2 linked regions of the Stegostoma tigrinum genome follow. The protein of the gene in region 2 purifies or fractionates together with the protein of the main gene of each other region. This does not show direct contact. Links are inferred from orthologs where the notes say so. Each region holds a gene or a part of one and is shown on either strand. Other genes may lie near its edges. The genes, in order: receptor expression-enhancing protein 1-like and retreg3.

Region 1 (3,920 bases), on a different chromosome or scaffold from region 2:
GGAGCAGATTCACGTTCTCTCATTTCTCCAATGACTTCTATCACCAGTGCAAATGTTTTAAGCTCAGCATGTGCATGAGCAAACACGCATCATGTTAAGCATATAATTATCTTGCTGGGTGGTGTTCCACATTTGGAATGAGCAAACTATTTAAACTGCCTCACAAGATTTTAGGTAAATAAGATAACATAGTGCATACTAAATGGTTGCTGTGTGTTTGCAGTTTAGAGCTCTGTCTATCCTATATCATTGTTGTGGGAATGCTGTTAAATGAACAGCCATGCTTACCTGTATTTGTTGACAGAAGAATTGTTTGTCTTGCAATCACATTCAGGGGTTGAATGCTGACAAGCTGAAAACAGCAACGCTCCACCTGCTGTCAACCCAACACCCAACATTGTGCAGGAAAGGGGATAGGCAAGTCAGCTCACTGTAGTACAGTGTCCCCTCAGTTGAGTCAGTTAAGAATGGCTTGAGTCCACACAATTGTTGATCATGTACTTCACAATGTGTTTAAAATTACTGTTTGACACGAGCAAGGCTCCAAATACGGTGGTGATTCTGTGTGCACAAATATGAATGAGACTAACAGAATCATATACCCTAGCATGTTGATCCAAAGTGGTGGTGGTGGTTGTTTCATGAGAATGACCCTGCCTCAGACAAGGTAAAGAAATTAAAGAAAATCCTTTACAGTACCCTAAGCCCACACAGGAAGTTAACTCACTCTGCATTACTGTAGGATTCTACAATTCAATCATTAAATTCAGAAAAACTTCAAGTAAATGGCAGCCACAAAAATCTGCAGTACATGCCAGCTAAATTTGTATCTAACTCAGCTTTCTCAAGTTTTGAACAAAAACAAATTCCTGGAAGCTCAGCAGATTGAGCAGCATCTGAGACGAGAATTCTGATGAAGCGTCACCGGACCCAAAACACGAACTCTGATTTTTCTTCACAGATGCTGCCCAACCTGCTGCACTTCCAGCAACTTCTGCTTTAGCTCCCCATTGACAGCATCCACAGCACTTTTCTTTCCTTCACGTTTTCCTTAAAAATGCCACAATGCAGCCACAACTCGTGGGTCAGCACACATCATTTCACTTAAAAACGAGAACCTCGGGGGACTGAATGGGTAGTTTTTAGTAAGCGGTCACAATTTATAACACAAAATCCTGTCATTGTCCCCAACCCAACTCCTTTAAAAAACAAAAGCCTTACTGGGTCAAGGTGGCTGTAGTGTGACTCACACCACAGGATCCCAGGGCTGGCACTGAAGAGTATTGCCAAAACAAAAAAAAAATCAGACCATCAATGAATCAAGTCACAGATCAACGTGACTTAGATTCAGGCTACAGGAGCAGGACATACAAGTCATTTGACGAGTCACGCAGAACACTGGACTTCAGAGCAAAACGCTGATGTACCTTCACTGCAAGTGTCTTGGGATGATAGTTCATTAGAAACTAAGAAGTGATTAACAAGGGGCAGAAAACCACAAAGGTGAAAGGGAAAATTTTGTTTTTTTACAAATCATCTGTGTACTCAACTAATTGAGAGCAAAGTGGAAAACTGAAGTGAATACACCTTAACCATGGGAAAGCACAGGCTGCAAAGAGTTCAGCCCTATAGGAGAAACGGGATGTATTAAAAAAGGCGATTTAACAAAGGCTCGGTTCCAATTTGTTGGAGACACTCCAACAGGCACTCATCGCCACCTCGTGATCCCAAGCAACTGAACGTGTAACCCACCCCTTCATCATGTTTCGCAAAGCTGAAAACCGTCACAGATGGTCAACTGCTCTAAACCGAAACAGTCAAATTCAAGGAGGAAGGCCACCAAAGACGGCTTTCTAATTCGCCTTGGTGACAAGTGTGAAGATTCCAAAAGGAAGTGAACAACCTTTTCGTGTTTTTTTAAAAAAAAATGTATACAAGTAAGGTGGGAATAAAACGTCTCGAGATCTCGTCAACGACTGCAACACCTCCGCAGCTACAAGCCAAAATTTCAAACGGACGTGTACGCAAAACAAAAGTTGTGGAATTCACGACAACGAGGGAGTCGGGAACGCCAGGTGGCTGTTAGGAGTGGGGGGTGGTGGGGAGAGAAGAAAGCAAACGCAGACAAACAAAGAAAGGCAGGCAGAGATAGAAGGAACTGCTGGAGAATCGGAGATAAGTTGCAGAGAGTGGATGAACGCAGCAGGCCAAGGAGCATCAGGGGGTGCAGGAAAGCTGACGTTCCGCGCCTAGACCCTTCCTCAGGGTCCATGCTCCTCTGATGCTGCTTAGCCTGCTGTGTTCATCCAGCTCTACACCTCAATCTAAGGAAAGCAGACGGGGTGGGGGGAATCCGACTTACACGATCAGCCTGGAGATGAGCCACGACACCATGTTAGGAAGCTCGCCAGCGACGGTTGAAATATATATATATTATATTCAAAAGTCAACGCCGACCGTTGGTGAGCGGCACGCGCAGCTCCCGGGGATTCCAGAACCGTCCGAGTGCCCCTTCGCGAGCCGTGTTACCGTGCACTGAGGGGGGGGGGGGGGGGGAGGAGCAGCAGCACCACGCCGAGCCTGACTGCTCCTATCCGGTTCGGTTTCTCACACAGAGGGAAGGTCGGCACCTGTCAGCACTTGCCCGGTTGGTGCTCTGGTTTGAATTTGCTCTCGGTGACGCCTTGTTTTCCCCCGCCCCGCCACACACACACACCCCCGGGGGGGCGGGTTCACTTTGATCTCGCGCGGCGCTGTGGGCGGGGAACAAAAGGTAAGCGAGCGAAATGGCCCCTCTTCTGTAATTTTCCGTTCTCCCGAACCTTTCCTTTTTAAACATGAATAGGGAAAGTAGTCACGTCCGTGCTTCTGCCTCACCTCCCGTAGGTAACAGGCGGTCTCTTAGAGTCCGCTTTTGTTCAACTCCGGGGCGGGGCACGCAAGCAAGCGGCGGTTTGCGCGTGCGTACCCTGCTCCTCGTTAGCCCTGGCGGGGTCCCATCAGCTCCCTGCCACCAAGGTCCGCTCGACGTTGGCGCTCCTTGTGGCTTTCTGGGGTGGGTGGGGATGCCTCTGCGCCTGCGCTTGTGACCTGCCGGTCGGTGTTGTTACGTAAGCACAAGTGAGTATTGACGTGGCTCGAGGAGTTGAATGGCCGTGGTGATGCCGGGGGACCTGATCTCAGCGACTGTTTTTCACTGGCATAAGGCAACGAAAAGTGGAAGAACTGGGGCAGTCTTTTGCGCTCATCTGAATCGGAGAAATGGTCCAAACATTGGAAGAGGCCATTCAGCCCCTTATCTGCATTGGCCTTTCCAAGGCAAGCACCCACTTAGCGTCTGATCCACCCAGTTGGTGCTGTTTACACGAGCCTCATCCACAAAGCCGGATGCATTTTGCCGTTTGGCACAATATTCCAGTTCCTGCCAGCTGAGGAACTAAAACATTATGCTTAAGGATCAACTTTCAGGGGTAGTGATATACCAAGTTTACTCGGTATCCAGAGGCCTACGATGATGCTCTCATGACAAGCATTCAAAGCCTCTGACTAGCTTGTGGAATTAAAATCATTCAAAAATGTGTGGAATTTAAATCTAATCTCAAATGACGGTGACCATTATCATAAAGACTTTTTACAGTGCAAGAAGAAGCCTTTCGTATCCATGCTGGTCATGAAATAACCATTGACTCATCTTAATAGTTCTTAAATGTCTTTAGGATTCTAGCTCCACCAGTACGGTTCAGTTGCCCTCAACTCTCTGGGTAAAAAACTGTTTCCTCAAAACACCTTTAAACCTTCTGCTCCTTCCCTTAAATTGGTGTTCCAGACATACATCCAGGCAGAAAAGTTTCTGTCTACTGACCCTCTTGGTGCCTGTCAGAACTTGTACACCTCTTCTGCACTCTACTAGAATCACATTC
Region 2 (3,920 bases):
AAGTACAGCACTGCACACTTACCTGGATTAAACTTCATCCACCATTTCTCCACCCATACCTGCAACTGACCTACATCCCGCTGTATACTTTGACAATCTCCTACATTATCCACAACTCCACTGATCTTTGTATCATGTGCAACTTACAAACCCAACCATCTACATTTTCATCCAAGTCATTTATATATATCACAAACAGAAGTCCCAGCACAGATCCCTGCGGAACACCACTGGTCATGGACCTCCAGGCTGAAAAGCACCCTTTCACCACTACCCTCTGCCTTCTACGGGCAAGCCAGTTCAGAATCCATGGGGCCAAAGGTCCTTAAGTTTTTCAGAGAACGAGTTTCTCAGCAGAAAAAAAAGAGCATAGAGGTGTTATTAATCGTCTTAAGATAACAGACTCTTGAAACAATCATATTTTTCTCATTTCTGGATTGGATCTGAAAGTTGCCGTTGAGAATTTAACTTTGAACAGCAGCTTGTTTCAAAAATTAAAACAAGAGACTGATGTTTTCTGCTAGCTACTGGCTTGTAAAGATAAAGCAGATTAATTATTTTCTAAGAACACTATAAACATCCACTTAGAGAAACAGATTAAGGATTTCAGGTTGACCCCAATATTTATAGTACCAGGATCCTTATGTCTTTGTAACAACTTTCTCAAACTGCAATGTACATTTAATGATGTGCACACATGTACCCCAGTTCTTACAGGTGTGTGCTGGAGCAGCTGGTGTACGTCACCAACCTCCAACATGTTACTGTATCATAACAAGTTTCCTTTCAAATTATGATTTTTGTTAGTGCCCCTTTAATCAGCTGAGCATTAAAGTTGTTCATTGATGTTATTGAAATAATCAACCCTAGATCTCTGCTCTTATTCCTCGCTACTTTGCCCTCATAGTTTATTTCCTCTCTATTTTTTTTAAGTCCTTTTTTGTTGGATTCTGAGTTTATCCTAGGCTTTGGAATGATCATTGACTTTTACCACCTTGCATGCTTTTTCTTTTAACTTAATACTCTCCTTAATTTCCTTGGTTAGTCATCTTCCTCCTTTAGAACTACATTATTTAAAATAATATTACCTATCCTCATTATCGCTATCAAAACATATCACTGCATCTTTCACTACATCAAATTTAATCTGTTGCATATCTGCCCCTAAATTTTATTGAAGTCCATCATTATTTCCCCTCACAGTTCAGAATACTTTTGCGATACATATTAATGATTTAAAGGCCTAAGTGGAGTAGTTTATAGATTGTACAAATTGTTGACAGTGAAGAAATAGGTAAGAGATATTACAGAAAAGTGGCAAATAGAATGTAGATGAGATTATGCATTTAGGAAGGAAGAAAACCAAGGAAAAACACAACAAAAGAAATTATTCTAAGCAATGTAGAGGAACGGAGAGAGCTTGGCGTGCATAAGGTAATGTGACAGGTAGATAAACTTGTGAAGCAGGTGTCCCAAGTACGCTTTCTTGTGGGTACTCAGAATCCAGAGCAGGATGGTTATGTGGAAACAATGCAAAACACAAATTATGTCAGAGTAAATCGCTGCAAATACAATGTTTTTTCAAACAGTGGTGACCCAACACATTTAATGCCAATTTCTTAATTACAAACACTGCCTGATTTGCTGACTATTTTCACCATTTTCTGGTTTTACTCTTAGGCTAGCACTAAATAGCAAGGCGAGAAGCCTTAGAATATAACTCAATATAGATGGGCTGGTCAAATGGATTGAAATTGGCAAAGGGAAGTTAATCTGGAAAAGGGAGGTGATGCATTTTGGGAAGACTAACAAGACAGGGAGAAGTCTTTCACCGTGGCAGTGTCCAATAGCCAGGAAACACTTTTTAACAACAACAACTCAACAATTTTTAAGGCATTTTCGAGGGGACTTCTGATTTTTTTTTCACCTTGAGTGTGGTATGTGGAACTCACTGCTAAAAGAATGGTATAAGCAGGAACCTCCAAGATTTTTTAATAACAATTTACATGAACCCTTGAAACGCCATAAAATTCAAGGTTACCGGCTAAATGCTGGCAAGTCGGATTAGAATTGATGAGCGTTGGATGATCGGCAAGGCCACGGGGGGGGGGGGGGGGGGTGCTCTTTCTGCGCTGTGAAAACTTCTGCCTTTGACACTAAGGTGTTGGTCCCTGTGTTTTTCGGCGGCAGAGAGAGGGGCCGATGGCCGATAGAATCCCTTTTCCAATCAACAACACAGGCCTACCCACCTCCCCCCGCCCTTACCAGAAACTGGCGTTGACGCTCAGGTATAGAAACAGGCTGTGCAGCGGCCTCTCCCACACCAACACACTCTGCCAATAAGTCAACACGGGCTCGTAATGACCCAGAATGCGGAGAAGCTGCTGCTGCCGGAGCCGGTGCTCAGACTCGGGTTGTGGGGCCGGGGCTGATTCCCGATCGCTGCCCTCAGGCCCCGCACTCGCTCGCTCAGCCGCCATCTTGGTGACGCTCTGTCTGAATGTGAATATTAATAGTCTTCATGAATATTGACAGAAACATATGAATATTAATTATCCATGGTTATATCATTGAAAAAAATTAAATAAGCATCGAATCGGCTCGTGAAGCCCGAAAACACTGGTTCAGAAAGTTGTAAATACACACACGTCCCGGTTTACTTTGCTGAGTAAGCTGTATAAAATCGAGATGAATCTGAGCTGACATTCGGATAAACGAGAATGGGATCGGTTTGACAATACGCTATAAACGGACCGCGGGTGTTACTCTGCGCATGCTCTATGCAGTTGGCGGGACGAGCGGCGGCGATGCCTCGGGAAATTATCACTTTGCAGCTCGGCCAGTGTGGCAACCAAAGTAAGGCAGGGGCCGGCGGGGATTGGGACCGTGAATGGTAACGTGGTGGGCGAGCCACTTAGTTACTGGGTGTTTTGTGTCGCCTTTAGTCCTGGTGTGCAGGAGAATAGTGTGAGTCCGGTTCGGGCCTGGGATAAGGCCCTGGTGGTCACCCACTACCCGCCGTCGAGTTGTTGTCAGTCAGGGTTCGTCGTGAAGCGGAGCCTGGCAGAATCCAACAACTGCCCACCGACGTTGTCAATATCTGTGGTATACCATCCCCCCGGACTCGATACAAACCCTTTCTACTCGGAGTATCTATTCTAAAACTCAACAGCAGCCTTTATGTGTGAGACGGATTTAGGACAAGAGCACTGTGTCTGTCTTTCAGAGGTTTCAAGCAGTTAGAAAAGGTTGGTGCAAGTGATTGGGTTTGGATAACAAATTGAAATGTAGTGAACCAAATGGAAAGGCGGTCGGATTCAGCTAGATCAAGGGACAGCCAGAACAACGGGAAAACGGACAAGATATTGCTATTTCGAATGAAGGGAAATGTGGGACATTGAAATAAATGAGTCTAGAAATGACAAATATTTGAAGCTGGTTGACAGAGCAGATAATTTCTTCTAGAGATGAAGTAGCTTTTGTAACTGATACATTCGAGTTAAGTCAATAGTTTGTGACCCCTTCCATCACTTTGCTGATGATGGAGACTACTTGACCAGGTTGGAGTGTTTCCTGGGTTTTCTGGCCAGGACATATCAAATTTCCACAAGTTTGGGTAGTTGCAATGCTGCAACATCTACATTCACCTTTAAAACTGCTTTGTTCTTTTGCAAGTGGGAACCTTTTCCATTAATTTGATCACCATGTGTGGTATGCATCGTTTGGGCATAATTTAAGTTTCCATGCACCATCTTGGCAACATGACGCATATTACTTGCCTGGTTCCATGCATGGAGAATAGCCTTTAATGTGTATGAGCTCAAAATAGATGTTGATTTATGTGTTAAATATAGTCCTGAACATGCATTTTGGTGACAAAAAAATAGTCGTACATGTTGGGTTAATCTGCATGCCACGAT

Evidence for each region.
Region 1: the proteins of retreg3 (region 2) and receptor expression-enhancing protein 1-like purify together in Homo sapiens (affinity purification with mass spectrometry; 3 studies listed by BioGRID and IntAct, with this or other methods). This does not show direct contact. The link is inferred for Stegostoma tigrinum from reciprocal best matches to the Homo sapiens genes RETREG3 and REEP4.

The regions. Positions count from the first base shown.
Region 1 is NC_081393.1:8,318,241-8,322,160, forward strand, and holds the start of receptor expression-enhancing protein 1-like, read right to left. Parts: upstream 2,871-3,920; 5' UTR 2,395-2,870; coding exon 2,363-2,394; intron 1-2,362. UniProt on the Homo sapiens protein: Microtubule-binding protein required to ensure proper cell division and nuclear envelope reassembly by sequestering the endoplasmic reticulum away from chromosomes during mitosis.
Region 2 is NC_081384.1:200,503-204,422, forward strand, and holds the start of retreg3 (reticulophagy regulator 3), read right to left. Parts: upstream 2,773-3,920; 5' UTR 2,647-2,772; exon of another isoform or gene 2,497-2,646; 5' UTR 2,481-2,496; coding exon 2,266-2,480; exon of another isoform or gene 2,258-2,265; intron 1-2,257. Other genes in the region: tubg1 (tubulin gamma-1 chain), read left to right, coding at 2,781-2,856. UniProt on the Homo sapiens protein: Endoplasmic reticulum (ER)-anchored autophagy regulator which exists in an inactive state under basal conditions but is activated following cellular stress.